Linked DNA regions of Pelodiscus sinensis. The protein of the gene in region 1 interacts with the protein of each later gene in a pairwise test. Links are inferred from orthologs where the notes say so. Each region holds a gene or a part of one and is shown on either strand. Other genes may lie near its edges. The genes, in order: PUM2 and DAZL.

Region 1 (16,158 bases):
CCCCTTTAATGTGCCGGTCTGACCATGCTGCGTGCACGTTGGATGCCGAGCCGGGAAAACAAAATGGTGGCCAGCCCGGCGCTGTGACCCCCCAGGAAGACAGCCACGACCCCCTTCTCTAGGTCACAGCCCAAACTGCTCCACCCCCCTATAGCATCCTAGTCCCCTTCCCCAGGTCACAACCCGATCTCCTGCACCCTAGTTTCTTGGAAAAGAGAGAGAAGTGTTCATGCACCCCAGCATATTGAGGGCACTCGAATATTTTCCCTCTTTCATCACCTCAATCAGTTAGTAAAAATAGGTTGCATAACAATACACTGATGGCAGAGACAAATGGTCTTTTTCTCAGAATGATTATATTCATTAACGAGGCTATTTCTTTGAACTTCCAGTGCTTTTTAATAAAGACTAAAAGTAGAATACTTATCTACTTATAATTTTATACAATATGTACATGAATCAAATTTAATCTAATCTTATTTACAGCTTCAGCTATACTTTGTAGTAGGTGCACTATGTGATTTTAATTGCATAAAGTACGGGTATACTCATTTTGAAGAGCTACTGCAATTAACAATTCAAAACTGAATCGGAGAAAATTATAGTCTTATTGAGACATCTATTATCTAAAAAAAGATCAGATTGTAGCTGCTTATCAGTAAACCAGGTGGAATCATCTGAGGCCAAGTAATACATAATCTGAAAGCCAGCTGCTGTTATCTCTGCTTTGGGTTCATGTTCACATACACAATATTATGTCATTAGCTACTCACCCTCTATTACAATGAATAGCCATCTCTGACTGTTGTGATGTTGAGGTATGTTTATTATGTACATCTATTTATATCCCATGCTATTAAGGGGAACTGAATGACTCAGAAACAAAAGTTGGCCTACTGGGGAAATCAGTGTTCTAACTATAGATCCTGGTTCAGTCTGCAACCTAATCCTGCTGTGCTCTGCACTACTGTAAAGGAAGTTTATTTGTGGTAACTTGTCTTTGGTGACGATGCTTAAGTTAGGATTGTACACTTGACTCACTGATCTTTCACTTAAAATGTCTGCAGAATGGTGTTATTCAACTTATTAAAAACATAATAAAAACAATAGAGGTAAAGCCAACTAAACTTTATAGAAGCCTATACATTTATTTAAAAATTACAAATCTAGCATATGACCAGCTGTGAAAGTATTGCCATTTGGTTGTGAAAATTCTGCCTCTTGTAGGTCCTTCCAGTAAGTGGAGAAACTGATGATGGAGTCTAGTATGTTTTGATGCAATTTTATTTCTTAACAAAGAATGTACAAAGTCCTCTTTCTCTGAAAGCAGACAGAAGGAACCAAAATAAAAGAAGATATTTTCTTTGCTCACACACCCAAACTTCTTTCAGCCAGCAAACCCCAAAATCTTTCTCTGTAGGCTTTTCTCAGGGTTGTGCTACCAGCTTTCTATTCCTTCACTCCCTCTCTGGCTTTTCATTCATACCAATGCATGCTCTCAATTCCAAGCCAAAACTCCTCTGCCCACATGGTTCAAATTCCTGAGTGGACACACGTATGCCTGTGTTTTAGGCTGGAGATTGCTTAAAATATAAAGGGCGGTGGTTACACCTCATCTAGGACAATATAATGTAACGCAGCACCTATTATTATTTATTTTATTGGTATTATTTTAGCAGTGTGCCTAAGTGCTCTAATCATGGACCAAGACCCCATTGTAGTAGGCGCTGTACATACAAGGGGAAAAAAGACAATTTCTGCTCAAAGGAACTTAAACTCTAAATAAGACAAGAGATGACAAATAGTTACAGACACACAGGTGGGAAGCGCAAGGAAACCATGAGACAATAATGATCCTTTTGGGCATCCTGGGGAAAGGAGAGTTTTAAGGGGAGTTTTGAAGGAGGATAACATATTAGTTTTACAGATATTTATGGGGAGTTCCTTTCTAGTATGAAGGGTAGAAAGGGAGAAAACACAGATGTGCTTCTTTGAAAATTTAAAAAGTTGGCAGTGTCGGCTGGTATCAAGAGCCCATTGAAAGCCCTTTTTACAGTGGATCAGAACTTACAGGTAGGTTAGGTATAGGCTGTGAAGGACCTTGGAAGTGAAGACAGCAGAGGTGAAAGTAACTGGGTGTGCCTTGGTGAACAACTCTGGAAAGAGCTGGCTGAGCTATGGCAAAAGCCAGCAGGCAGCTATTAAAAGAGCTAGCAGGGACCCGAATCAGCCACTGTGGTGAGTACAAGAGGTGACGTCAGCTGCTGCCCCATACCAGCCCCCCCAGGTAATGCCCAGTGGTAGAAAAAATACCCAAAAAAGTTACTTGGGTAAAAGTACTGCTACTTTGAAAAACATATAATGAAGTAAAAGTCAAAGTGTCCTTCTGGAGGACTACTTGAGTAAATGTACAAAAGTATTGCATCTTAGTTGTACTCAAGTATCCAGAAGTAAAAAGTAGCTGACAAGTTTATAGTAACAGACCTAGGCTGGAGGACTATAACTAAGAAGGAGAAAGGCAGCTCTAAGGCAGCCCTGGTCAATCAGGAGCAAAGGAGATAGGGCTGCTGTTGATTAATCAGGGTCAGCTGATCTCACCTGAGGATGTCATGGAGCCTTTAAAAGGAACCCACCCTTCCCCCCCTTTTCAGTGGGGGTGGAGAGAGGGAGGAAGTGGAGTGAGAAGAGACCTGAGCAGACTAAGAATGGCAACAGTGCCAGAGATAGCACAGTGGATGTGACAAGCTCCAAACAGGTGTTTTAGGCACAACTTTTCTGGGCAGCCTGAGACCCCAGCTGAGAGCTGAAAAGGACTGTTTTGGCAGCCCAGGCTGTCCACAGAGCACTGGCTCCAATGCCCTTGGTGGCTGAGGGACCAGAGCCTAAACCCTTCCAAGGGCTGGTAATTCAGTATGGAGCTTGCCCAGTGAAGGACTGAGCAGGATACTGGGACCCAGGAGTGGGTTTACCCTGCCACAAGTGTGTGTGTGTGTATATATATATATATACACACACACACACATTTCAAATCTGAAATTTAAATGTAGTCACATCCTTCATTTATAAAGCTAAAGAGTAACCAAATTAAATACAGGAATCAAATTACAGAAATGTATTTATTTTGTTCACATTCACAAGTGTGCATTTTAGCATTGTAATGATTAATTACAAAAATGTTTGTTCAACCTTAAAAGCAGTTGATTTTCAAAATGATCAGAGTCAAGTCTTGCTCTCCTAGGACAAAATATGAGTCCAGCAACACTGAAGAGTCTCTCACAGGCAGCTGAGGCAGGCAAAGGTGTGTTGGACCTGATGGACACCTCCTTAAGGCTATGTCTACACTACACTGTTCTTTTTTGGAAGAGGCTTTTCTGATATTTGGCCTGCCCATACTGGGCCACATGTCGGAAAAAACCCTTTTTCCGAACATCCCTTCTTCCTTGTAAAACAAGGTTTACAGGGATGCTGGAAAAGCACGTCTGCTCGTCTGAAAATTTTTTTGGAAGAGAAGATGCATTCCCTGGATGCAGCAGAGTTTTTCTAGGATACCTCTGGAAAAATTCTGTAGTGTAGACATAGCCAGATTGTAGGAGAGGATGGCAGCATATCCATAGGCTGTGTCTAGACTGCACCCCTTTTGCGGAAAAGGGATGCAGATTAGACACAGCGCAATTGCAAATGAAGCGGGGATTTAAATCTCCCCCGCTTCATTTGCATGAACATGGCTGCCGCTTTTTTCCGGCTTGGGGCTTTGCTGGCAAAAAGCGCCAGTCTAGATGGGGATCTTTCGGAAAATAAAGCCTTTTCCAAAAGATCCCTTATTCCTCTTAAAAGCAGTGTAGACGGGGCCATTTTGCGCAAAAAAACCCACCCCTTTTGTGCAAGATCCTGCATACCTCCTTTTTTGAGGCATAAGAGATCTTGCACAAAAGGGGTTTTTTTGTGCAAAATGGCCCCGTCTATACTGCTTGTTTTTGCGCAAAAACCCCTTCTGCAAAAAGCTTTGGCAGAGAAGAGGCAAATGACAGTGTGACAAATGCTAATGAGCGCTTCATTTGCATTGACTCTGCCAACAAAAGGCTGCAGTGTAGATGTAGCCTGCATGACGATTGGATGCTTTGTGCACGTGGTTGTGCTTTAGCAAATCAGAATGCTGGTTTGCACCGCTGTCAGTGGGGTGATCAAAGAAGTGAGTAACTAAGAGCTTCCAGAAATGATAGTGGAGTAAAAAGTACAATATTTTCTAAAAAAAAAAAAACCCTACTTGAGTAAAAGTCAAAGTATCACAAAAATTACCTGAGTAAAGTACAAATACTGAAAAAATATACTAGAGCAGTGTAACAAAGAATTTCTACTTAGTTACTTTCCACCTCTGGTAATGCCCCAGGCTGCCTGGGCCCCACAGATAACAGGAGGTACTGTCTCATCCATAGAACAATTGAGGCTGCTGCTGTGGGGTCCCCTGAAGCATGAGGCCTGAGACAACTGCCCAAAACTGTCCTATGGATGGTATGGCACTGTAATCAGACGCCATTTAGGTAGAAGCTGTTATGTTGCATTCAGCGGCAGGCCGAACATATGAAATACAGGTTATATCTCTCTTAACCGGGACTCTGGTCTGGCAACATCCATGGTCAGACAGAGCCCAGGAATAGGGAAGCCATGGGAAAGGAGCAGTGTGTGGGGGGGGGGGGGGGGGGGGAAGGGAAGGCTGAGACTCAGCCGGAAGCCAGAGCACAGGGCGCAGAGGGATGGGTGGCACAGCAGGGAGTTCTGGCCCCTGCAGCCAGGTGGTAGTGGGGGCCCAGCAGTGGCAGCCAAGGAACTCTGGCCCTGGCCATGGAGCTTGGGGGCCAGCAGCAACAGCCAACGAGCTGCAGTCCTGGCCATGGAGCTCGGGATGGCAGCACCAGCCATGGAGCTTGGGAACGACAGTGGCAGCCACAGAAGTCTATCCCCAGCAGCAGCCAGGGAACTCCATCCCTGGCTGTGGAGATCCAACTCCAGCGAAAGCCATGGCCAGACAGGCAGCAGTGGGGCTAAGTTGGAACCTTAGCCAGGGGCCGCAGGACATGTAGCAAGCGACTATCTCCTTGGGTTCAGGAAATCCCCTTGGTTGGAACCAGTCGGATCTCCAGGGTACTGGACAAGGGATGTCCAACCTGTAGGAATTGACTCTCTTCCTACAGCTGTGTGTCTCACTGATGTTGATGATGCTGATACACGAGAGGACCAAATAAAGTAAAACCATGTTGATGTGTGGTTCATAAGAAACCCCTGGAGAGTGCTTAGGAAAGCATTATCAATTATTAATGCCTTAACATTTATATCCTAGCATTTTTATTAAGTAGCTCAAAAATGCATTGTCAAATTAAACTATAAATAAGTATTTTTAAGTTTCCCTTCAGCAAAAAAAAAAAAAAAAAAAAAAAAAAAATAGAAGTGGCATTTTTTTGGTAGTGTGGACTTAAAGTTTGAATGCTGCTCTTACTGTGATAAGTTTCAGTTTTATTTTTCAAATCACTTTATAATTGCATTTACACATTTTTCTATTTTGCTTTTTTCATCCTACAAAGGACCAGTCAGACCAGGTAGAGATCACATATATTTGTTTGTGAAACTTATGCTGATTAAAAAAATACTTAGCTCTTACAGGTATGTAATATAGCATTTTACAAGCATTAGCTAATCCTCACAAACACTATTGTGCAGTAGAAAAGTGTCTTTCTGCCCCCATTTTACAAATGAAGAAACAGGAGAGGTTAGCAGAATATTTTTAAGTGATCACTAATTTGAGACTCCCAACGTGAGTTTTTTTTTCCAGAGGCGCTGTACAACTTCCTCCAAAGTTCACAAATCCTCTCAAAAATCTTAGAACTGCCTGTAAATTATGCACATTTTGCTTATGGCTCCCAGGAACTGTTTTGTCTCCTGGTTTGTCCATAGTGTAGCAGTGCTTCTACAATGCTTCCTTTCCTCTAAATAGGCCTCTGTGCTGTGAGGTTAGTGCTTTGGGAACCACTCTATTGGTTCTAAGCCACCTGGGAAATCCCCCTCCAATGTGGAAATCCCCATGGAGCTGGTTAAACTGGATTTACAGAACTTGCTATCAGTAGAGCCTTCCTAAAGACTGCGTTTGGACTGAGATTTGGGTCCACTGGTAATCATGTGAGTAATGCTTGAAAGAATGGATGTGCGGACATCCAGCTTTGGATATCAATATGTTTGTAAAGAGCTGTTCTGTTTGAGATATATATATATACATATACATATATATATACATATACATATATATATATATCACAATTAGCTTACATTGTAAGATTTTTTCTTATTACTATTTATTCCACAATTTCTTGCGGAACCCCTGACGATGGTCCACGGACCCTCGTTGGGAAACTGGCATAGGCACACACTTTCTTCTTTCATGGGAGGCTGTACTCATTTTTTTATTTAAATTAGTTAATGTTAAGACTGAATACACTTGCTTATTGTTTATGTAAAAGAAATCAATGGAGCTTCTATTTACTGATGTTTTGGTTAGATGGGTTGCTTTCTGGATCACATCTGTGCCTGTGTCATGCTGTTGGGAGACAAAAGAATTGGTGTGTAGGTAAAATCAATTTTTTGTTTTGAAACCATAATTTCTTGGTGAGCTGAGGCTTGACCATCCTTTTTTTCTTTTACATCTCTCCGCTGGAATGAACAGTTTCTCATCTGAGGAAGTGGGTTTTGCCCACGAAAGCTGCAAGACTACTCGTTTTTTTTTAAATAAACATGGCTAGCCCTCTGAGGTTCTCTTTATTGATAATACCCATGCACGTGCGCACGTTTCTCCTTCTACTGGCCAAATTCTGCAAAGCTAGCTGAATCTCTACGGCCGCTGCATTACAGAAATTCACCCCTTGCAGCCCAGCCTCGTCTTATTGGGTGGGCGTAGGGTTTCACTGTTGTGGCTAGTTCAGGTCTTTCTCTTCCAGTGACAACTTGCGACACTAGCCGTGCACTCCGGCGGGAGCTGGATCCGGCCCTGCAGCATGCTCACATCCCAGGCGGTGCAGGCGAAAGGAACAATGGGGCGCTAGGAGTTCCGCGTTCGGCACGCCACCACGACCTCCCCCCCCCCAACCCGCCTCACGCACGCGGGGCCGCTGGCACATCAGAGCGCGCGCAGACGCCGCGCGCCAACGCCGCTGATAGGCGCGCGGCGGAAGGGACTCGAGAGTTCCTGCTGCCCGCCCCGCCTCCGTCTCCGGCCGCAGCGCGCCTGCGCAGTGGGGGTTGCCGCGCTCCCTCTGTGTGTGGGTCTCTCGCCATGTTGTTGTGAGTCTCTGGCGGCTGAGGTGGGGGGAGGGGAGGAAGGAAGGAGAGACCCGGAGGGGGGGGCGGCGGGGACAGGGGTGTTTCAGGGCCCTGTCCGGCTCCGTTCCAGGGAGCAGCGCCGCCAGCCAGCCCGTGAGTATCTCCCGGGGCCGGGGTAGCCAAGGCCGCGGGGGGGGGGGAGCGGCAGCGGGCGGAGCCCCCTCGCTTCAGCCCCCTTTGTCTCGGGCCTCGAGGCCGGTCGCCCCGTTGGTCGGGGCCTGGTCGATGGCGGCTGGGCTCTCCTTTGTGCCGCTCGGCCCAAGCAATCCGCCGGGCCGCTGTCGGGAGCCGCACAAAGGGGGTGGGGGCGGGAGAGGGAGCGAGGTGGGGGAGGGGTCAGAAGGGGGGCGCATGCGGGGGAGGGGTCGCCTGTGGGGGGAGGGGGCAGTCTGGGCGGAGGGGGAGCGTGCATGGTGGAGGAGGGGAAAGGGATATTCTGCAGGGGAGGGGTGTGTGGTGGGGGGAGTGTTGTGGGGTGGGGGATTGCGGTGTGACCCTTTAAACGCCTTCGGGATGCTAACACCACACACCCCCTTTGGTGAGGGAGCTGCGTTTTAGGTGAGAGGGGAGAAAAAGCCTCGGTGAGTCGTTTACGCCAAGGCATAGGATTTAGATCAAACCAGAGGTGAACTTGTGCCTGAAAAACAGACCTCTGAGGCTGGGAGGGAAAGGGTGGCAAGGAATCAAGAGAGCAGTGGTCACTGAAGGGCACAACTGAGATCTAGGCACAGGAAATATTTTGGAAATGCGAATAAGGTTTTTGAATATCTTTGAGCTTAAGGCCATAAGGGACCATTAGACTATTTAGACTGATCTCAGTATTTCACAGGTTATTCTATCTTCTTTATTGGGGATATGTAAGTCTCTCTCTTTTTTTTTTTTTTTTTAAAGGCACGTGCGGGTAGGGAGCTTAAATGCATATTTTGTAGTTGATGCCACACAGTGAAATATTGGATTTTATTTTTTCTTTAAAATTTCCACAGACAAATAACATCAGAGGAAATGTTATTGGAACATATAATACAGCTACGTGCGGAGTGGATCACAATTTTATTTGATGACTGCTGATGATGTTTAAAACTATTAGCAATCATTATACAGGAGATTTTTTTGTTATGAAGTTTAGTGTGTGTACTTAACATCAGATTATGTCTTTAATGCTGTGAAAGTGATACTGAGTATTTCATACCCGTCTGGTGTATGAAATATTGTACAAAGCAAGAAAATGTCAAAATATTAAAACATGTAATATGTTTTATATGGTGGCATGGTTTTTAGAGGTTTTACCAACCTGCGTTTGGGATGTGTCATTACCACCAAGTGATAAAGACATGCATGAGGTATATATAGCATTGCAAATGAGTGTCCATAAAAATCTTTATACAAAACATTTGTACATTGTCCATAGGTTGCATATTAACAGAAATTGGTTTTGGAAATGTATGTTGTTCATGGTCTTTTGTGTGCGTGCGTGTGTGTGTGTGTGCGCACGCGCATGTGCATGTCCCACAATGGAATGATTAGGGTTCTTTACTTACCATGATTCAAAGTTTGTAGGTTCTTAAGGGGGAGGAAAATGAAAACAAATACATTTTTCAGATCTCTAAATATACCTGAAATGTCTTATTTAATATAAATACTGCTGCTAATTTTAATGTCTGGATGGCTTTAATGTCTACATCCTTCTGGATCTTCCTGGATTTAGAAGCAGATATTGTGTGTGTTCTTGGAAAGCTGGGGATCTCATTTTTGCAATGGTATTAATAGGTGTTGGATCTTAAACCTTTCACTGGTCCATGACTGAATACTGTATCGTAAGTATTTTTAGTAGGTAAAGGTGGTGAGAAAATTAGGATGGGGAAAGACTGAATTCTGTGGCTTTTTTTTTTTTTTTTTTTTTTTTTTTTTTTTAAACAAAGCATCTGGCAGCTGCTTGAAGATGCTCATGGGCTTGGAAAATTAGAAGTAGTCCCAGAGGAGACAGACCTAATGGGCAAATGCAGGTAACAGGGTGCACTTTTATTGCATGAATATTACGTGTATACATACACGTGCTATTTTAATATTTATAATTTTTCCATGGGGTGGGGGGGATAGAATGGTGACTAGGCAATTACAATAATGAAAGGTGAGAAACCGTTATTAATTCATTGTAATGGTGTTTGACCAGGAAGAGTGCAATTAACTTCCTTTAAATATTAAATGCAGTGAAATCTGTTATAGCTAATACATTTTTATTGGTAGAGAGAGAGAATCTCATTTTTCCTTGTCTTGTGGGAAAACAATAATGTAGTGTTACAATATATATTTAAGAATGTTGTTTATTGCCTGATTGTAGGAGCATTAGACAGTAGGTAGCATTAGACCATAAGTAACTTCTTTCCCATTTGTTTAGATGTGTGAGAGACTGTGGGTATACTGGGGGTTAGCATTAGCAGGGAGTTAGTTTGAAAATCCTAACTTTTTTTGGTTTTACTTTGTCTGCTTTCCGCCTTTCTTAGGTGTGCATGTATGTGTGTGTACTAATACTTTGTGTGTGTAAAACTGTCTAAAATACTTTATCTTGAGAACTCAAGTCTCTGCTTTGTATAGTTTCTGAAACGTTACAGTCCCAAAAGCTGGGGACAGATTAGTTGATAATTTCCCTGTTCTGTTTGTTTTCTCTGAAGTGTCTGGCACTGGCCACTGTCAGAAGATAGTATGACCACTGGTTTGATTCTGAATGGCCCTTCTTAAGAACATAGTTGTTAGGTGGGCAGAAAAAAATGTTCGGTCAACTTTGATTATTTCTATTAACATTGATGCCTTCTTTCTAGTGTACAGGCATTTTGATAGAAAGATATTGGCAGTTAACATTTTGTAGACTAAGGGAAAGAAAACAGATCACTTCTAAATGAAAACTTCTAAAATGACTATAAGAGCGTGATGGGTAGGTCATATAGATACTGCTTTGGTTGTATAAGGTGCATTCATAAGAATGAACTATATTAATTGCTCTTTCCACTTCTGTTCTTCTCTACTTAAAAAATAATTTTAGTTGAAAAATACTTCCCTCATCCAGGGTGAAGTTTTTCCACCCATAGCACAACTATTTTATTGCTTACTCTACACGTTTGAACCATTCCAGCATTGTCAATAAGCCCAGAACCCAAACTCTGTGAAATGGCACAAGAACAAAATAATTGAAAGGCTTGTTTTCTCTTCCTGTAACAACATATTACATTCGTATAATGCCTTTTCAAGGCACTTCCTTGTAATATAGTAGAAGTACTGTACAGCTGCAGTCCTATAAAACACCTTCAAATTACATAAAGTATATACAGGTTCTAACTGTCTGTCTAATTTCCAGTAGATATGTATAAAACTTTTTTCTTTCTGGTAACAGCTTACATATTGCTGAGACTTTATTTTATGGGAGGCTTACTTTATATCTCCTTCAGAATTTGTCAGCATTGCTTCTAGTTGATAGTATTTCCCAGAATGTGGTGTGGGTTACCTACTTGGTGAATCAAAATTAGGTATTATTTGTAGAAATATCATTAAAGGTGTCAGTAAAGTTGATTATTAAACCCTGATGCATTATCCATTCTGGAAGTGGCTTTTGGAGAGCTAGCATGTACATAATGAAGATAAAGTTCTGTGAAAGCAGTGGGATGGCCATCCTAGGTGTCGAGAGAGGAGTAATGGGGGAATTCTGCACAACCGCACATGCACAGGATTTAGGGCACCTGCAGATTTATTTTCTTCCCTGCAGAAAAATGACTTTCTGATGGTGAAGAAAAGAGAAGCCACAAGAATGATCATGTAGCCCTCCCCCCCCCCCCCCCAACAGTATGTTTTGGGTGCCTAGGGTAGCCAGTGGAGAGAGAAATCACTGTGGGGTAGGGGCAGGGACTGGGGAAGACCCAAGCTACTGGCTCCTACCCTGTGCCAGGCTCAGCTACTAGTTTCGACTGAGATGGGGAGATCAGGGCCCCATGGCAGGCCCAGTCTGGCACACTGCAGGCAGGGGTGCTCCAGGCTCCCTACCCATTTATTGGTTAACCAGTTAGTCACTTAACCTGTTAAACATTATGTTTAACAAGATGAGACAAGGGACTCTTCCAGCCCAACTGGAGCAGCTTGCAGGTCTCCTGCTACCAGCTGGCTGCCAGCATCTAGCTGCGTGGGGCTGGCTGGTTGCCCTTCGGGGCTGAAGCAGCCCTCCGTCTGCAGCAGGCCATGGATGGGGCTGTCCTGGGGAACTGGTTAACCATTACCTGGTAAGCATCACAAGGTAAGGGTGATGCTTACTGGGTAACCTGTTACCTGTTCACATCCCTTGTGTGCTCCCAAGTACCATGCCGGGGTTCCTACATTTGTTTGACAAATTTTTAAAATATTGTGCAAAAAATTTAGTTTTCTGGTGCAGAATGCACTGAAGAGCAGTGATCCTTGAAAGCTTGTGTGCTTGTGCAGCTGTTCAGGAGAGATTCAAATTAGGGATGTTAAATTTCAGTTAATCAGCTAATTGAGTAGTCTATGGAAATTCCATCAGCTACTCGATTATTTGATAAGGGGAGTGCTTGCTATCCTGCTGCACCTCTCCCTTTGAAATGTACAATTTCTGCCTGCAGCTCCTGTACATTTCAGACGGAGGGATGCAGAGGGCTTTTAAAACAGCTCCCCCCCAGCATCAGCTCATGCTCCCTCATCGCTGCCTGCCTCTGATAGAGGCTGCAAAGTGGGGGAGCGACTAGTCATGTTCCTATTTGACTACCTGATTACGCATTTGTTTATCAGGTAGTCAACTAGTTGCTTACATCCCTAATTCAAATGCTTGCCCAGCTGATTAGCAGAATACCCACAGCTAGGCTTTTTGTTTTTACTAGTGGTACATATTCATACTTTTTTTTTTTTTTTTTTTGTATGTGCACCAAGCAATGTCTGCATGTGGATGGAAAAGATTAGAGAGCATTGCTCAGGAGTGATATAAAGATCTCTGAAATGCTACACCTACAAAACTATTGACTGTATAGATAAGTGCAGGACTTCTATCAAGTACAATAAGAATAAGTCCAAAACAAAATATTGTGACTTGAACATGCGCCTTGTTCAATATAAATGGTCATATTAATATTGTGTATTGCAGTATTTTAATATTTAATATGTATTTTAATTAACCTATGGTACTGTGATCTTTTTTCTTATAAATTGGACTTGGTAATCTGTGAAAAAAATTGACAGTTTAATCAGATATTTCCAAATAGGTCTACAATTTCACCAGCTAAAGCTCAATTACTAAATTACCAGGTAAAGCTAAATTAATTCTCACTGAGCCAGTGGTAAGGAAAATTTTGAGAAATCGACACAAATTACTGTACTGACTGGCTTTGTTTCCATTGTATCTCTTTCTCTATTACTTACATGTATCATAAATCTTTGATTTTCTGTTTTTATGTGGGGAAGGGGCAACAAGGAGATGGTAAAGGTTGACATAGAAAATCTCAATCCGCAGATTACTTTTTAAATATGAAATTGCTCATTTCAGTGTCAGGTGAGCATACATTTTTAAATTATAAGTGTACTGTACCAAAATACTTTTAAAATTTAGTTGCTTTATACAGGCAGTCCCCAGGTTACATACAAGATAGGGACTATAGGTTTGTTCTTAAGTTGAATCTGTATGTAAGTCGGAACTGGCGTCCATATTCAGCCGCTGCTGAAACTGACCGCCAGTTCTGACTTACATACAGATTCAACTTAAGAACCCCAAGTGTCCCCAAGTCAACTGCTGCTGAAACTGATCAGCGGCTGATTCCAGGAAGCCCGGGGCAGAGCAACTCTGCCTCGGGCTTCCTGTAGTCAGCGCTGGTCAGTTTCAGCAGCGGCTGACTTGGGGACGCCTGGGGCAGAGCAGCTGGAGTGCTGCTGGGTTGCTCTAGTAGCGCCGCTCCTCGGCGCTACTGGACCAACCCGGCAGCACCCCAGCTGCTCTGCCCCAGGCGTCCTGATTCAGCTGCTGCTGAAACTGACCAGCAGCGGCTGAATCAGGATGCCTGGGGCAGAGCAGCTGGGGTGCTGCCGGGTTGGTCCAGTAGTGCCCAGAGCAGTGCTGCGGGACCAACCTGCAGTGCCCCAGCTGCTTTGCCCCAGGGTCCACAACAAAATCCTGGTCTGCTGGGGGGGGCACACTAGCTGCGCGCGCCCCCCCCTCCAGCAGACCAGGGACATGGGGAGCAAAGCCGCAGTGGCAGTGGGGTGCCGCGCCTCTGAGGCTTTGCTCTGGCAAAGCCTCAGAGGTGTGGGACCCCGCCACCGCTGCTGCTTTGCTCCCGGTGTCCCTGGTCTGCTGGGGACTGTCTCCAGCAGACCAGGGGCACTGGGAGCAGCTTTTTTCGCCCCAGAGGTCGAGGTGGCTGACCGCTGCCTGCGAGCTCCGGGGCGAGAGAGCCCCGTTCGTAAGTGCGGATCCGACATAAGTCGGATCCGCGTAAGTCGGGGACTACCTGTATATAAATAGTATACAAACTAGGAATGTAAAATCAATTTTAATTAGTTAACTGGTCAAACATGCCGCTGGTGAACTGCTCCAATCCGGCTGGAGCAGGCTCTGTTTGGGGTGGGCCTTGGCCTGGGCACACCATGGTTGGGGGCTGCTCTCGGCACACCAAAACTGGGTCTGCTGCAAGAATGGGGGCTCCTCTGCCTGGGCTGGAGCCTCCCTCCTCTCTGCCCGCCTGTGGCAGGCCCTGTGGAGCTGGGGCAGCATGCTTCCTGCAGCAGGTGAGGGCTGTTCCATCCCCCACCAGCTAACCATAACTGGTAAGCCTCACCTGGTAAAGGTGATGCTTATTGGTTAACTGGTTAACCATTCAGATCCCTAATACAAACCTTTAAAGCAGACTCTTTTAAAAAGGAAAAAGGTGGTGTTGAAGTTAAAAGTGAGGCTGTTACGCAAGGTGTATTGAGTTTCTTGGAGCCATGAGACTCAAGTAATAAATTTTCACAACATACATTTTAGCAGTCACTTGGAGTGAGTTTTGTGACTGTTCATTAAGGAAAACAATCTTACTCATAATTTTTAGGCGTGGTATTGTTGATGCATGGTTATATTTCCAGTATAGAATATATCGGTAAATTCTTTGTTCTGTGAATGTTGCTTTGAGGAGTTTGTCATATTGTTGAGTTTGAAGAAGTCTCAGAATTAGTACCATGTTTGCGCAGTGCCACTTAGGTGAAGTAAACAGGTAGTGTTATAATAAATCTACGTATAAGCAGCATTAGTCTTAAAATGGTCATAAATGGCCACAAACCATATTCAGAGGTAAAGCAAAAACCTCACTTCCACAACATGGTTTTTTTTTTATGTTTATACATGGAGGAGGTGTTAACACTGGAAATAAAATATATGTATTGAGGGATGAGAAGTGAGTCCTCAATTTTATGCTTAAACTCCATTCTGGCTGAGAAGCTTTCTGCATACAAGTTTTCTCCATTCAGGTTTTATACTGTTCCCCTAAGCCAGGGGTCCCCAACCTTTTCAGGTTGGCGGGCACCAGGGGGCGTGGCCGTTCGCCCGCCAGGCGCCAGGGTGCGGGGACACTTGCCCGCCCGGGGGCGGGGCCCCCCCCCCCAGCCGCGTGCCCGGGGGCGGGGCCCCCCCCCCAGCCGCGTGCCCGGGGGCGGGGCGCCCCCCCCCAGCCGCGTGCCCGGGGGCGGGGCCCCCTGGGAAGCGCCGCGCGCCCGGCGCCCCCCCCCCCCGTAAGCGCCGCTGGGCTAGGGCCGGTGCTTCCCCCCCCCCCTTAAGCGCCGTGGAGCCGGCGCCGGGGCACGCGCGGTGCTCCCGGGGGCGGGGCCAAGGCCGGCACCGGAGCCGGCAAGGGTACGCGCGGCGCCCCCGGGGCCGGGACCGGCCATGCGCCCGGGGCTGGCACCTGCCAGCCCAGATTGCTCCGCGGGCGCCATGGCGCCCGCGGGCACCGGGTTGGGGACCATGGCCCTAAGCAATTATGGCATATATGAAACTTACTGTAAAGCTTCCAGACTGTACTTTAAAATGAAAATAACTGACTATTTTTGTAGAAGCTATGAATTACATTGTAAGGTATCTTTGTCTTATAAATGTGTACTGTTCCAGGTCTCTTTGAATTTCATGTCATTTACAGCTGTACAATTGACAGTACACCTGATGAACTGGACAAAGTGAAAATCAGAAAATAAAAAAAAGCATGATCATTTTGCCCCCTTTAAGAATGGACTCTCCTGTGTTTTATTGCCAAAATCTTCATGTGGTATATGGTTGTCAGTTATACCTGTGTCAAGCCCAAAGTGAAAATCTTCAAAAGGGAGTTGGCAGACTGACTAAAGATTTCAGAAGCTTCAGGGGGTAGCTGTAGGATAACCTTTAAAAAACAACATATAGTCTGGTAGCACTTTAAAGGCTAACAACATGTAGAAGGTGGTATGAGCTTTCAGGCTTAGGTCAGTGGAAGGCCAGAATATACTACCAATTTGGTCAAAGGTGTTTTTAAATACAGTAAAACTCCATTAGTCCGGCATCCAATGCTCCGGGATTCCTGATGGTCCGGCACCATCAGGAATCCAGAAGTGCTGAGGCAGCCGGACAGGCTTCCCCCATTCAGCTGCTGCTGAAACTGACCAGCAGCTGAATCGGGGAAGCCGGGAACAGAGCAGCTGGGGTGCTGCCAGGTTGGTCCCGCAGGGCCGAGGGGCGGCGCTATGGGACCAACCCGGCAGCACCCCCAGCTGCTTTGCCCCAGGTGTTGGGATTCAGCCGCTGCTGAAACTGACCAG
Region 2 (16,616 bases), on another chromosome or scaffold:
CAAGGTACGGGTTTGGTTGTTCCAGGACAATGGAATGTGCATGGAATGTAATTATCATGAAATGGAAAGGGAGGGCTCTGCTAGCAGTGATAGTTATACTATATAATGACCACATGATGGCAGCAAGGGGCCAAAAATGGGGACCAGGATAGCTATAAACCCTTTGGGCCAGTAGGGGACAGATGTTGAGAAAGGGGGTATGTCTACACTAGCCCCCTAGTTCGAACTAGGGAGGCTAATGTAGGCATTCGAACTTGCAAATGAAGCCCAGGATTTAAATATCCCGGGCTTTATTTGCATGTTCCCGTCCGGTCGCCATTTTTAAATGCCACTAGTCCGGACTAAGTTCTTAGTTCGAATTACCTTTTACTCCTCCTGGAATGAGGTGTAACAGGTAATTCGAACTAAGGATTTAGTTTGAATTACCGTTTAACTGCCGCGTGGACTAGTGGCATTTAAAAATGGTGACCGGACGGGAACATGCAAATAAAGCCCGGGATATTTAAATTCCGGGCTTCATTTGCAAGTTCGAATGCCTACATTAGCCTCCCTAGTTCGAATTAGGGGGCTAGTGTAGACATACCCAGGGACACTGACCTACTACATATTTCAGAGAGTTTGTCTGTTTGTGTGTCTGTCTGTCCCCCAGCCGGGAGACATGCACTCCTTCCTTGGCTGTGCCTGCTACAGCGGCAGTGGCCATGGATAGGTGCTTCTCACCGGACCGCAAGCTGCTGTGGTGAGAGAGGGCAGGAGTTGTCCTCTCTCCCTGGGATAGCCTGCATACTGAACACCTCATCCCTAGGCTCACCCTAGCATAATGATTTAAATGGAGAAAAACAAAACTTTTCTGAATTAAGAACCCGAACAATGCTAGGTAAATCTTCTAGTATAACATACAGGGCAAATTCTACTGTATTTTATACCCATTGTTACACCAGCATCTTCAGAGTTGTGGCAGAGGTGTAAATGAGAACAGATTTTATCTCAATGTGTTCAAACACCAAGTAAAAAAATATATGGGCCAACAACAGGAGTATATTGTGAGACCAGCAATCCCTGCTGAGGTTTATAAAAATTAAAGGATCCAGATTTTATGTCCATGTCACCAGGAAGCCATGACTAAAGTATGTGTGTATTCAGCACATATTTCTACTTGACCCATTAAGTCTGCTGCAAAGTTTTCCTTTCAAGGAATGAATGTGTACTGTTTTTGCTGATTCCTGTTATGCATGTACAAGAGTTTCTTCACTTCTGAAGACAGGAAAAAATGAGATTGCAAAGTTATGGCAACAATTCATTTAAGAGAATGTTTATAATCAATTCAAGAGCTAACTATTCCTCTTTCTTCACTGTCTGACTTCATGTGATATCAGAGTTCAAGAGATCCCAGATTATGAGGTCTAAGTTCAAGAACTTTTTTCCTATTCATTTTGAAAAATTTATTAGTCATTTTTACATTTGTGACCAGCAACCACTGCTAAAAGCTCTCATCTGTTTTGTACCTCATCACTAATTTTTTGAAGCTTATTCCAATACACTTAGGCTACATCTACACTGCCCCTGCTTGTGCAAAAAATATGCAAATGAGGCAAAGCATGGTATATCGCTGTGCCTCATTTGCATAATTTTAAAAAAGAGGAAGAACGGCTCTTGCGCAAGAGGGGGTTTTTGTGCAAAAATGGAGCCTTGTTAATTATGCAGATGAGGCATGGCAATATTCCACACTTTGCCTCACTTGCATATTTTGTTGCACAAGATGGGGCAGTGTACATGTAGCCTTAGGGTACATCTGCACAGCAGAGTTAAAGTTGGAACAAGCTACTAACTTCAGCTACGTCAATTGCGTAGCTTAAGTCAAAGTCGCTTATTTTTGCTTTTAGTGCTGTCTCCACAGCAGGAAGTCGAAGGAAGAACACTCTTCCTTTGACTTCCCTTACTTCTTGTGAAATGAGGGTTACAGGAGTCAGAATAAGAAGTCCTCTATTTCGACATTATTTCAAAATAAAAGCTTGTAGTATAGATGTGCTCTTTGTTATTTTGAAATAATGTCAGTTATTCTGAAATAACGCTGCTGAGTACTACTCAATCATCCAATTCTTTTTGTAACCTTTTTTTATTTTTTAAGAAGCTGTAACATAGAAAAACATCTGGGCTGTGTCTAGACTGGCCAGTTTTTCTGGAAAATCAGCAGCTTTTCCGGAAAAACTTGCCAGCTGTCTACACTGGCCACTTGAATTTCCGGAAAAGCACTGATGATCTCATGTAAAATCATCAGTGCTTTTCCGGAAAAACTATGCTGCTCCCGTTTGGGCAAAAGTCTTTTTCCAAAAGACTTTTGCCCAAAAGGGCCAGTGTAGACAGCATAGTACTGTTTTCCGCAAAAAAGCCCCAAATCGCGAAAATGGCGATCGGGGCTTTTTTGCGGAAAACCGCGTCTAGATTGGCCTCGGACGCTTTTCCGCAAAAAGTGCTTTTGCGGAAAAGCATCCTGCCAATCTAGACGCGCTTTTCCGAAAATGCTTTTAACGGAAATTCATGCCAGTGTAGACGTAGCCCTGTAGTGCAGGTTACATTTCCAGGAATCACAATAATCAGCACTATTTTGATTTGAATACAGCGCAGTTTGAGGATGAGTCAACTGCTGCAATAATGATTAATATATTTGTTACTTGCTTAAAGAATGATTATATTTTAGTTTAATCAACATTTGCATGTAATTGATGATTTAAGACTTATTAGCCAAGAGATCTCACACAAGACGAGAGATTATTCTCATGGGTGTACTGTCCTATGGAAAGTAAATCCAAGCACACTAGTGGTACAAGATTAATATTGTTGTTGGCATAGCTATGAAAGCCTGTTCCATAGTTTCACAGCTCTAACACATCATCAGTTTCCAGCAAAACTATGGGCTTAGGTTACAACAACATGGAGGCCTTAAAAGATACATCTCTGTATCCAGTGCTTTACCCCACAAGAGCTAATAAAGATAAACTTCTATAATTCTATTCTCTTAAAGAACACAGATATCATTGTAGTTCTAAGAATATGACAGTCCAACTTTCAGCACTAAGAGGTTGGCAATATCTCTTAGGTTATAAAGATATGGTGGTCATGCATGGCTATACCATTATACAGGGCTTTTCAATTTATCAGAGAGAATACACTGAAGGTTAGCTAGGGTGGATTGACTATGTTTCTGTGTGTGTAATCCTGACTATCTGAAGAGACAAGTGATTATCTGGATGATACGGGGTGAAGCCATAATTTCCCTGTTCTGTACATTCCCTCAAAGCATCTGGTATTGTCCACTGTTGAAGAACAGGATATTGGGCTACCTAGACCATAGGTGTGACTAGTATGGCCATTCTTATGTTCTCTTCCTCTAAGTTCCTACTAAATTAATTACTTGGTGTTAGCAGATGTATTTTGAGCGCTGTGAGCAACCATTCTATTTGAATTTCTTATTCACATAAGGCTTGAGACTCTTTGGTTTACACTATGGTGAGTTCTAGCCATACCTGCCTACTATGGCAAATGCACAAACATGAGATTTTCATCCTAGCTCCTCCCCACATCCTTGTCCCCAAAGTTTCTTTTTGCTACCTGACAAAATAAAAAGAGAAAGAAGAAATATGTTTGGGTGTTTTATTCAAGAAAATAACAGTCCAAAAACTTAGGGATGTTTCACTCCTGTGTTATATTTCCTTCTAATCATAAAATGTAATATGAACCTTCACTATATGGGGAAATCTTCACTTATTGTATACTCTGCATTGCTGATCATTTGTGTAACTGAATAAAATACATAAATAGAGATTGCACTTTTTGTTCTGTTTAGGTAATTGGAGGAGGTTTAGGGGTAGTTTTATCAGTGACTGTCCTCTTTCCAGGTGATTTAAACCCAGTATGACTGTTCTTATGTGACACATGGTGGAAATGTTCATGATTCAGGCCCTGCCCCCATCTCTTCAGGACAGGTGTGCAACTCACCCTACCTATGCCCCTCCCAAACTCTTCCTACAATCCAGGAGATGGGAGTACAGTATAAAAATCAGGTTCCACGGCAGAGATATGACACAGTGACTTGAGGGCTATAATGAAAGTTGAGATGATACTGATTGAGCTTCGATGTTCTGTCCTTTATGTTCAATACCAAAGATCTCAGACAAGTTTAGATTAGATTATTAGTTGGCCAGGGAAGCAAAATTATAGAGAAAATAAAGGGTTGTTTTTCTCTGCAAGGTCTTTCCATCAGCATTATACTAACACAACAGAAAATTACTTCAAAAGGTTTTCAATTAGTATCAATTCTCCTCCAGCATGCTTGACCTTGCCATTCTGCAATGGGTTTAAATTGCAGACTAGGACATTAGGAAAAACTTCCTGTCAGGGTAGGTAAACACTGGGGGTAAATTGCCTGGGGAAATTATAGAATCTCCATCACTGGAGCTATTTAAAAGCTGGTCAGCATTGGTCTACATTAGGATTGGGCAATCATTTTTTTGCCAGGTGCCATTTCAAAATTTTTGTAAGTGGCCCAGGATTGCACCAAAAGGGGCGGGGCTTCAAAAGGAAGGGGTGGGGCCAGGAGGCTTCAGGCTTCCCCACCCACAGACCATGATTGGCCTGGGGGTGTGGGAGCCCTTTTGCTCCCCCTTCCCACTAAGCACCCATGTCCCTGGTGGTGGGAAGAGAGTTCACATGCTCCCCCGCCCCCAGGCCAATCAGGGCCTGGGGAGCACGCGAAGCCTCCTCCCGCCCTGCCAGAAGTGCGCAGCACTTCTAAGTGCCATGTGCGCCTCGCAAGACAGGGGCAAGGTGGAGGAAACTGTGCATATTTTCCCCCACCTCCAGGCCCTGATTCTGCACGTTTCAAAGGGGCAGTGCACTTGCCAGCTGATCCTGGGCTTTGTGCAGCATTTCCCCAGAACCTGGGATTAGGTTCCACTGTAATGCTGCGCAGAATCAGGTCACCTATAGTTAACATTCCTAGTATTGACCTTTTAACTAAGCCATTGACAAGAAAAATTGTTAATATTCAAGGAAGGAAAGCAAGGAAAAAGATATGGATACAATCAGAAAAACTAGCTAAACTACAGCTTGTGGATATTTGGAGAGAAATGCAGAGGAAAAATTATATTTTTACTCTGAGTTGCATCTCTGTCTCTAGAATTGATTTAATTTGTACTGATAGAAGTAATCTTCACAGGGTAGAACAAAGTGAGATAAATTATATCATTATTTCAGATTATGCCTCTGTGTAGGCTTTAATGAGCAGTTCATTGGGACCAAAACAGACAAAGCACTGGGTTTTTATGACAATTTATTGCAAAATGATAATACAGTTAAATAGCACAGAGCAGATATCAAAGAGTATATGTATAAGTGCACATCTGTGAGTCCACCTTCACAGAATAATTTCCTGTCATTGTGGCAATAAAAACAAGTGGCATGAGATTAGACTGCAGTATATTTAAAATTATTGAGAAATAAAACTGGGAATTTATGGGATAAACAGTTTAAACAAGTTTTACTCAGTGGGAATGATCAAGAATTCCTGCAAACTTAAAAATAAAAAGGAAAGAAAAAGCCTATCCATATCTAGGTAGAAAGGATGGGGGCACAAAGCAAGAAATAAAGAGCAGAAAATATCCAGGCCTTGATGTGTTCTTCACTAATGTGGATCAATTTTAAGGGGGAAATATCTCTCTATTAAAAAGGATTTTGTTGAAACTATGAAAATTGTCCCTAAGTTGACACAAATCTATAGGTTTAAAACTTAGGGTAAATCTTTTAACCACTGCATACATCCCTTTAGCCAATGTCAAATATAGATTTAAAAATCCCTGTAAATAAATTAGTAATGAGGATCACTGGAAAGTTGATTAGTTGTGACCAAACAAGATTTAAAGCTACCAAGCAGTCTCTTTATACAATTTGAGACGAACAGTAGGCTTTAATCCTCCAAAAAGATTGTCATGGACAGACTTTTGTGCCAGCATATTGTCCCCTCACTGGTCTTAAGTACCAAGATCTTTTACTTCTTTCTTTTGACTGAGTCCTGGTCTACATTACAGTATTGGTCAACATAAGGCAGATTTGAAAACCAGCTCCCAGGGCTTCCTGCCAGGCTGCTGCCAGTCTCTCCACTCTCTGCTAAGAGCATTGCAGCCAACAGGCACAGATCTCCCCACAGGAAGCCCAGTTGCCGTCCTGGGGCGCTCCACTCCTCATTGGGAACAGAGCAACTACACCAGGGTTTCTCAGCTCCCTGACAGGAATGGTGCAGTTTCACAAGGCTTCTCAGCTTCCCATCAGGAACAGGGCAGCCATACCAGGCTTCCAAGCTCCGCACTGGAAACAATGCAGCTGCACTAGGTTTCTTGACTCTCCACCAGGAATGGAGTAGCCAGCTGGACACAGAGCTCCCTACCAGGGACTTGCTTGGCCAGCCAGGCTCTTAGCTCCCCACCAGGAGCATAGCAGCCAACCAGATTCCCGTCATTGCTCTTCCCACCAGAAGCCCGTCCTCCCTGCCAGGTTTTCAGCTTCCTGAAACACACTGAGAGCATAGCTGCCTGGCCAGGGAGCTCCAGTTAGGTGCCATGGTGGGAGAGGGGGCACCTACCCCATTCTTGGTGGTGAGGGGAGCCAAAAGGAGAAGACAGATGGTTCTCTTATCTCAATGAAAGCACTCCTTATGAGGATGTGCACCACCAACTGAAGAATAGCGGTATGGACATGAATGTCTGCAATGCTCTTTTTACTTTTTAAGCCTGAGCCCTATGAGACTGAGTGCAGCTGATTTTTCTGGGCAGTGCAGATGTCAAAAAACCTATGACTGGCCCATGCTAGTTGATTTGGGCTAGTGGCTGTTTTGGGACTCGGTTTAAGGGGCTGTTTATTTGCAGCATATACATTTGGCCTTGGGCTCACATAGTTCTAGCACCTTCTGAGGAGGCAGCCCAAGCCCAGACAGCTACACCTCAATTAAACAGTCCCTTAGTCCAAGCCAGTCATAGGTGTCTAACTACATTGTAGACATAACCTTAGGAGACTAGCACAGAGATTAAGCAATGCTCCCAGACCTCTTGACACTGAAGTCAATAACAGAACTCCCATTGGCTTTGAATGGAACAAGTGCATCTCAAGATTTGCTAAGAGCGAGTTCCCTTTTAAAAATAATCTATATTCAAAAACAATCCCTTCAGTTTGAAGGTGATTGTTAAAGCGAAGAAAGCAAACAGAAACCTCATCTCCGAGGCCATGTCTTTGATAAGCAAGGACCAATTAAATAAGAACGTTTCACAAAGAGTGGGTGTCCCAGTAAAATTAACACTTACTGAGCAAAGTGCCTCCATTGGATGAAATGAGATTATGCTGCAGAGCAAAACTTTATATCCTTTTTACTGGCGGTGGAGGGGGAAGCCACAGGTCAGGCAGTAAAATACCGTTCCTAACTCCAGAAAGGTTAGAGTAAAATCCACCCCAAACCTACACCAAATGAAAGGAGAGGTGGGAACACACAGGGAAAAGCCCGTCTTGGAGCAGGCAGGCAGACAGACAGACAGACAGACTGCCTCCCTCCCTCCCTCTTCCTGGGTACCCCGCTGGGTGTGGCCTCTCCCCGCCCCCTTGGCCTCTCTCTCTGATGATTATCTAGAGAGGCGGCGGGGCCAGCGGGAGGAGCTGCTGTTTTTAGGGGGTGGGAGGGAGGGAGCTGGTGGGGTCAGTTTTTAAGCACCCCGCGGTTTTTAGACGTGCATGGGCGCTGCCCCGCGTGTGGGGAAGGATGGTGAGTGGGGCTGGCGGCTAAGGGGGCTGGGAGAGGGGGGCCGAGGCCGGAGATCGGCGGCAGGAACCTCGGCGGGGAATGGGATTTGGCGGGGCCCAAAGCCGCTGTCCTGGTCGGGCTGGGCTGCAGCGCTGGCGTCCCTGTGGAGACGGGCTCGCCCCGGCCTAGGGTGGCTGAGGTGGGCGGTCCCCCGCCCCTGGCATGGCTGAGGGGCCGTGTGGGGTGCAACGGGCCGGCTCCGCTGGGGACAGGGGGAGAGAGCCGCGCGCGGCGCTGGCCGCTGAGACGGGCCCTGGGACGTCGAGGAGGCTGGGCCATGCCTCGCAAGCGCCGCCATTTTGTTACACCCGGCTTGCGACGCCGGGCCCGTTCCGCTCGCTCCTTGCCCCGGCGCGGCGGCAGCCCAACGCCCTGGCGGGTGGTGCTGCGGCCGCCGCCCCTTCCCTGGGGCCTCCCCGCGCTTCGGCCACGCAGCCCCCAAGCCCCCCACTCACTGCGCCAAATGGCTCCCGCCGCCGCCCGCCCCTTGTGCCGGGGCCTGCCCCGCTCCGTCCCCTGCGGGTGCGGGGGTCCCGGCTGCTTCCCCGCGGGCCCACTGGAGAGTGACAGTGAAGCCCCAGCCCGTTCCCTCAGGTGCTGGGCGGAGCAGCCCGCAGGCCTGGGGAGTTTCGCTTGCTTGCCTCGGGGCTGGGCTTAACCAGGCTCTGGACGCGTTTCCCTTCTCTAATGCCCCATGGGGTGGAGGCTTCAGCGCCAGGGCCCTGTTTTCTCAGGTCAGTCTGTCTGTAGCAAGCATCTTCAGGAGAGGCGTCAAACCCCCTCTGCCCTCCTTGTGGCTGGTGCGCGCCCCATGTGAGGTCAAAATCTGCAGACCCCTGGTTTAATTTGAAACTCATGCTTCTCCTGGCAGGTTCTCCTCTAGCAGGCGTGGATGCAAGCACGCCTGGAAGTGTTCACTTCCACTCCTGTTGTGGAAATGCAGCACAAAGCAATTCAGATTTGGGTACATTATATAAGTTACATATATTTCAGCTGAGCCAAAGCTTTAGTTTGAATCTTTTGACCTTTTTCAAAAACAGTTTCATATTATGAGTTTGCAACTCATTGCTGCTCTTAAAAAAAGTGTACTTCTCAGATGTTCATGTTGAAACTGTTAGAGGAAAAAAGCAGGCTTTAGTTTCTGTGTCAAAACTGAAAAGGTCTTGTTTCTGAGAGGAATTAGCTCACACTTCTTACTTTAGGATGCACTAGAATATATTTAGCTCCCATATACAGGTTAATCATTTACTAAATAATAATATGAAGACTTTCAAGAAACAACTTGATGTTGTTTGCACATCTTTCTGTAAATCATGCTGTTGTCTGGGAGTAGTAGGGTGCTGCATTAAGCTTGTGGTGATGCAAACAATAGGACTAAACTGGTAAAATAAAGACACTAGAAATCAAGAATATCACTTGCAATATAGCAGTTGTAGTATTGTAATTATGAAAATGTACTGTGCTTTGTATAAATATGGGACAAAACTACCTTTCCTGCAGGTGTGCATGGAAAGATCTTATTACTGGCTTTAACATATTTTAAATGGTGACACTAATTTGTGACCTTTGTATTCTGAAGCTGATTGTTTATTAATATTTCTATTGTTAGTAAAATAGTAAATTTAGTAGTGTCTTGCCTTTCATGTTTAAATGCAGTTTTGCTCTTCACACTTTCATTTATGGTAGCATGACACTACTATTTTTTACAGCTACTGTAACGAGTTGCTAAACACGCAATCCAAAAGTGTCTTCCTGTCATATTAACAACTTGATCGTATATCAACTTTCAGACTGTACGAGTTCTGTTAAGTATTCAATTTATAATGGTCCTTGTGGCAACAGGGTGTGCGTGGCAGAGCAGAGGCCAGCTACCATGGGGAAGGAGTCTCCCACCATCTATACACCCCCATCCCCACTCTCTGCCTTGCAGCTCAGTCCCCAGCCATAGCTCTGCTCCAGACCCAGGTGCAGTTCTCCTCTCTAAGGCCAGCATTACCTTCAGCCCAAGCTCCTGTGCTGAGCCATCTGTACAATAATGGAGTGGGCTTGTGGACATACTCCAGTACTGATAAGGGGAGGTGAAAAAGTTAGGGCACCTCATTCTCCCCATTCAAGATATCTTGTATTATCAGGCACATTTATCGTAAACTGCTTTGCTATTAAATTGAACTTAACAGTGGAACAGACTTTTTCACCTTCAGTGTTAGTTCCAAAACTATTTGCTAGATAATCTTTTTCATGTTTCCAGCCTCTTTATAAGATTACCGTATATTCCGGCGTACAAGACGACCTCTGAAGTTAAAAAACATCCCCCAAAAATCGGGGGTCGTCTTGTACGCCGGATGCCCCGCCGCCGGAGCCCCTCCGCGGCTTTGAAAGCCTTGGGGGAAGCCGGCGGCGGGGCATCCCAGGCGCGCATGGGCTGCCCCCCCGCCGGAGCCCCTCCGCGGCTTTGAAAGCCTCGGGGGAAGCCGACGGGGGGGCAGCCCATGCGCGCCTGGGATGCCCCCCCGCCGGCTTCCCCCGAGGCTTTCAAAGCCGTGGAGGGGCTCCGGCGGGGGGGGGCAGCCCAGGCGCTCCTGGCGGCTTTGCTCCCGGTGCCTCTGGTCTGCTGGGGACCATCTCCAGCAGACCAGGAACACCGGGAGCAAAGGAGGCGGAGGGGCACTGGGGTAAAAGATGAAACCCTATCTTTTAATTAAAAAGATAGGGGGTCGTCTTATACGCCCAGTCGCCCTATACGCCGGAAAATACGGTAGATAAAAGTAGAGGTTGAGATAATTATAGCAGGGGTGGCCAAACTGGCTTGTGAGCCACAGGCAGCTCTTTTAGGGTATGTCTAAACTACGTCGCTTTTTTGATAAAGGGATGTAAATTAGACATATTGAAATTGTACATGAAGCCAGGATTTGAATTTCCTGTGCTTCATTTACATAATGGCGGCTGCGGCTTTTTTTCGAAAAGCTGCTTTTCCAAAAAAAGAAAAGTCAAGATGGAGATCTTTTGACAGAAGTGCCCCATTTTGAAAGATCCTGTAACCCTCAAAAAATGAGATTTACAGGATCTTTCGAAATGGCATTTCTCTCAAAAGATCCCTGTCTTGACCATTGGGCTTTTTTTTCCCAAAAAGTGGCTTTTGGGGGGGGGGGGGGGGGGAAGCCGTGGCCGCCATTATGTAAGTAAAGTGCAAAAAATTCAAATCTCAGCTTCATTTATAATTTCGATATGTCTAATTTACATCCCTTTATTGAAAAAGGGATATAGTTTACATACTTTTAGGCTACGTCTACACTGGCACCCTTTTCCGGAAATGCTTAAAACGGAACAGTTTTCCGTTATAAGTATTTCCGGAAAAAGCGCGTCTACAAGCACTTTTTCCGGAAAAGCGTCCATGGCCAATCTAGATGCGCTTTTCCGCAAAATAGCCCCGGTTGTCATTTTCGCGATCGGGGCTTTTTTGCGGAAAAGACTCCTGTGCTGTCTACACTGGCCCTTTTCCGGAACAGTTTTTCCGGAAAAGGACTTTTGCCCGAACGGGAGCAGCATAGTTTTTCCGGAAAAACACTGACAATTTTACAGTAGATCGTCATTGCTTTTCCCAAAAAGCAAGCGGCCAGTATAGACAGCTGGCAAGTTATTCCGGAAAAGCGGCTGCTTTTCCGTAATAAGTGGCCCAGTGTAGACACAGCCTTACTGTTAAAAGTACAGCTCAGGAAGTCTGTGTCTCCTCCCTCCCCTTCCCCCTACTTCTTGATTTACAAGATTCCAGAGGAAGAGACAATTGTTCTCTGTAAGCTGTGCGCTTGTGTGTCTGTTCAGGAGAGATTCGGATGCCACCCACCCGATTAGCAGAGCACCCACAGAGCTAGGTATTATGTTTCTATTGGAGGTGCACATTCACAAATGCCTTGGTGCACATAAAATATTTGTTCCACACATGGATTGAAAAGATTAGCGGGAACATTGTTTGGGACTTCTGCCTTGTGGTGGGAGTAGGAGCTTTTGCCCAGTGGGGAGGGTGTTCATAGAGCTCCTGACCAATGGATGCCTCCCAAAGGGCAAATGCCCTGAGCAACTGCCTCTGTTAGTTGTGCCCCAGCCATTGAACTTTTGAAGACAGTCAGATGTGGGTTGGGAGGGCCAGTATGTTGGTCCACCCACCCCTGAATTGCAATAAAATAATTGTATTGGTCTACATCTCTGGTGCTCAAACTTTTCCAGTTGTGCCATTCTCCTTTCCCTCTCTTTCTCCCACCCCCAATCAATAATGGAATTTGTCTGCTCTCTTTCTCCAGTTACTGCACAGCCAAGGTTTTCTCAGAAGCAGAGTTTGGTTTGAAGGTAGAGATGGGGATGGAACTGGAAAGGAGGGCACAGCTGAGTCTGGGGGCAGAGAAGGAGCGAGGATGGAGTTGGGCCTGGACCTAGAGCAAGACTGAGGGCTGAAAGGGTCTGAGGTACAGCTGGCCTGTGGGTAATGTGGGGCTGGAAACATAGCAATATCTTCCTGCTCTGTGCGCCCCCTGCCCCCAGAACATTTGTTCCTCCTAACCCCTGTAGGGGACATGCCCCCCACACTTTAAGAATCACTGATATACATAAAAAACCAAACCCCTTTTGGTCTTACAACCAACAACTAAAGTTGACTGGGATATCACCTAGTTTGCAAAAGGTATGTACAGTACAGTACTTGGCTAATAGCTCCACCTGCTGCTTAATGTGTAAACTACACTATCACTGTTACAGGGAGCCATGTTCCTTCTCCCTTTCAGGTAATACGCTGTCATGGTAACTGCAACTCCTGTACATAGAAATGCTACACATGTGGGTCAATGGCAAGAGTATGAATAGACTTTACATATCTTTATATTCTGAGCAAGGTGTGGAAGGGGTAGGATTGAATGCTCCTGGGGCGGGGGGGAAGCACAGGAATATTGTTGCAGTGGGCTAGTTGAAGCTCTAGTGAGGATCCAACAGAACAGTTGGTTAGATTTGTTCTTTTTTTCTGCTTTGCCTTTCACAAATATAAACTCTGCTTCATTATCAGTATTGTAAGGTATAACAGACGCCCTGCCTATTCAAAGGGAGAATAGGACCCGGTGCTAGCAACAATGCCTAAATTCTTAAATTTGTGATTGTCGTGAAATGTTCTCTATTTCCTTTCCCATTTGTCATCTCTTTCTGTACATATGTCTATGGCTCATAGTTTTTATATCAGTTAGTACTTTCAACTATCTCTCTGCTTTTGAATATACTTTTTTCCCACAAAATTTTCCAGGCAGCCTGGCTGCACTCCTTGATCTTTGGTTCCTGTGGTGATGGCCAGCCAGTCTAGGTCAGAACTAAGGATGTTAAGGACTAGTCAACTATCCAGTAAGCAAATGCTTATCAGATAGTTGAGTCAACTAGTCGATTTCCCCCCCTCCCCCCGCTCCCTCCACTTCGCTGCAGATCGAGGCAGCACAGTGGGGGGGAAAGAGGGGGTACTTCAGTGGCAGCACTGTAAGGAGTTGACCCCGGGCTCCATGCAGTGCTGTCCCTTTGAGTCCCAGCTCATCCCGGATTCTGCAGAAATGCCACACAGAGCCCAGGATCAGCATTTCCATGAGGGCGCTTCTGCTTTGAAATGCACAAGAACCCCCGCTGGGGACTCTTGTACATTTCAAAGCTGGCACTCCCATGTGCAGCCCGGAGTCAGCTGGACTTTACCTTGGCTCCAGCTGCACGTGAAGTTCTACATTCCTCCTTTGAAATGTACAAGGGCCCCTGGCTTGCATTGGGTCCCCCTGCTACACTTCTGATTTTTAAATGTATTAAAAGGCAGCAGGCTCTTAATGCATTTAAAAAGCAGAGGCACAGTGTCTAGGAGTGGGTGCAAGCCAGGAATCAGCTGACTTTGGCTTACATCTAGTTCCCACTGTCCCCTTGCTCCCCGCGGAGCTGGTCCTGGGGTGAACGGGGCATGAGCCGAAGTCAGCCAATACCTTTTAAGCCAGCTCGCACCAGCTCCTTCTCCCTCACCCCTTTGCTGCCTTTGATAGAGATGGAGGGGAAGGGCGGGAGCAACTAGTCGACTACCCGATAAGCAAAAGCTTATCAAATTGTCTACTAGTCCCTTACATCCCTAGTCAGATAGATGGCTGTAGTAAAACAGCAAATGGTGTGATGCTGTAATAGAAATATTGAATTGATTGGTATTTTGGAATCTGATTTCACATAGACCAGACTGAGACGAATGAGGCATGTTACCCCACTACACTTAGAGATATTGTTACAGGCTGTGAGCTCACTCAGGGTACATCTACACAACAGTGTTATTTTGGAATAACCTCAGTTATTCCAAAATAACAAAGAGTGTGTCTATACTACAAGCCTTTATTTCAAAATAATGTTGAGCTGGAGGACTTCTTACTTCAACTCGTGGTAACCCTCATTTTATGAAGCATAAGGGAAGTCAAGGAATAAGTGTTCTTCCTTTGAGCTCCTGCTCTGTAGACGGTGCCAAAAGCCAAACTAAGCTATTTCGACTTAAACTACGCAATTGACATAGCTGCAGTTGTGTAACTTATTCTGATTTTAGCCTGCTGTATAGATGTACCCTCAGAGATATCTACTTTTGGCTCACTTCTTGATGATTAATTTTGGACCACAAAGGTTAGAAAGACATAGGAATTTCAGTTCTCCTTTTTAGTGTAATTCTCTGCCAAGATGCAAATTCAGTAGTCATGGAATACATGGGGCTCTTGAGGATCAGCCAGCATATAAGGTAAAAGGCTATATAATCTTTGCCTTGTGAGAGATTACTTGAAATAGTAACTTCTTGCTTCTTCCTCATATAGGACTCAAGGCAAAAACCCTGTTGCTACTGCTTTATTGAAATCATAGTGGCTGGAATAAGGGCCAAGAGTCTACATAAGAGATGTGAGAGTTTAACTGGTTAATCAATAAGCTAATGCTCGTTGGTACAGTTAACGGTTAAACTCCTGCAAGCTGGCAGCCTGCGGGGCCAGCAGCCCGCAAAGCCGGCAAGGCCAGGATCCTGCAGGTGCCCATCTAAGTCTGTAACCAGTGGAATTATGAGTTACACATAGTATTTTTAAATCCTTTTTACATCCTTAGTCTACATGTTTGCATTTAAATAGATTCTCATTTGGGATGAGAACAAATAATAAAAGTTAAGGCCAAAACGGCCAGATCTTTCCCCTTGATGATTAAACTGTGATATGACTGTAATGTATTGTGGCATTACAGACTTTGAAAGGTGACTTATCAAGGAGAAAAATAGGCATGTACTCATTCTTTGCTGCTTAATTGTGTAAGAAGACTTTTTAAACTTCTCAGCACTAAAAAAACTGATGTGGTCTATTCAGGAACTCATGGATACTTGGAAAACTAGAACAATTACAGGAGTAACAACTGAGCTATTGAAAAGATAAAAGGATTTTGTAGTTGGATGTTTAAACCAGGGGTTGGAAACCAGATGTGGCCCTTATCTTGTGTGGATCTGACCCTCGAGGCTCAGGGCTTCCCCACGGCATTGGGGAGTCCATGGGGCTGGAGCACACAAAATCTACTAGTCTGTGCCACCCATCCCCTAGGATCTGCTGTGTGAAGGGAATGTGGGGAATGTCTTTCTGCTTCTTAGTTGTGGGCCATGTCCAATGAGGATGTTTGTTTTTTTGAACTCCTCACTTGTACGTGGCCTCCGACTGATTCCTCTTTGGGTCAGTGGCCCCCGACCCGAAAAAAAGGTTCCTCATCCCTGGTTTAAATCTGTCATTAACCTCTTTAATCCCAGTATCTAATAAACTTCTTGGAGAAGAAATTTCTAGATCTAGAGCTCGGCACCTTAAGATGTGACAAACTCAAAATTCACACTGTGTCTTCCAGCAAAACCAGGCAAAGTCATTGGAACGTTCTCCTGATACAAAGCTGAAGCTTCCTGAAATAAACTAAGATTGCCTTTTGAGCAGAAAGGACACAAAGTGTAACTATATCTTCCCTTGGAGGCCATTTTGTAGCTGGATTTAAGAAATTATTGGTAGTGAATCTTGTTGGTTTAATTTCTCTCTCCTTCATCTGCCTGGCAAATCAAAAAGCTGCCAGTGGCTCAGGGTGGTGGCAAGAAGGTGAGAGACTGGGGGGGGGGGGAGGGCCTGGGGTGTACCTGAAGGCTGGCATCAGAAGGGCCACAATTAACCTTCCCTGGTCTGTCAAACTTCCTCCTTCAGAATCGGTTAGGTCCCGAGGGTGCCAGTCCATAGAAATTCAATCTTTATTTAATTTCTGAGTGCTTGACTTAAGATTGTTCTTTGAATGTGTTTCTTTCTGAGTAATCTAAGGAGGGGTTGTCCATGTGTATACCCTACTTCAAACATAAGTGATTTGTACAGTTTACTGAACCTCAAACTCTTCAGGCTGTTTTAGACAAAGTTGGCAGATCTTGATCTCTGATTTGGTTTAACTTTAAATTTTGACAACACAAAATCCCCCTTTTGTAAAGGGGGATGTAAATAGTGTGATCATATTAAAAGCTAGTTGCAGTGACTATAAAGAAAAAAATTAAAGCTAACTTTCTTCCATATGTAGCTGCTGGGTTTTGTTCTGGGACTGTTCATACTTGAGTGCTGCATTAATTACTTGTTTAAGGGTTTTTTTTGATCAGATAATGTGGAATTCTGGAACTTTGCAAGCAAATCTGGCAGTCTGTGGTGTCCACTTCCACATGGGGTTCAAGACAGATATTCAAGTGTGTTTTTCAGCAATTTCGTTTTAG

Evidence for each region.
Region 2: the proteins of PUM2 (region 1) and DAZL interact in a two-hybrid assay, tested with the Homo sapiens proteins (2 studies listed by BioGRID and IntAct). The link is inferred for Pelodiscus sinensis from reciprocal best matches to the Homo sapiens genes PUM2 and DAZL.

Annotation. Positions count from the first base shown.
Region 1 is NC_134713.1:18,479,549-18,495,706, forward strand, and holds the start of PUM2 (pumilio homolog 2), read left to right. Parts: upstream 1-7,320; 5' UTR 7,321-7,455; intron 7,456-9,281; exon of another isoform or gene 9,282-9,359; coding exon of another isoform or gene 9,360-9,365; intron 9,366-16,158. UniProt on the Homo sapiens protein: Sequence-specific RNA-binding protein that acts as a post-transcriptional repressor by binding the 3'-UTR of mRNA targets.
Region 2 is NC_134712.1:193,719,612-193,736,227, forward strand, and holds the start of DAZL (deleted in azoospermia-like), read left to right. Parts: upstream 1-7,634; 5' UTR 7,635-7,798; coding exon of another isoform or gene 7,799-7,801; intron 7,802-8,711; 5' UTR 8,712-8,732; coding exon 8,733-8,804; intron 8,805-16,616. UniProt on the Homo sapiens protein: RNA-binding protein, which is essential for gametogenesis in both males and females. Plays a central role during spermatogenesis.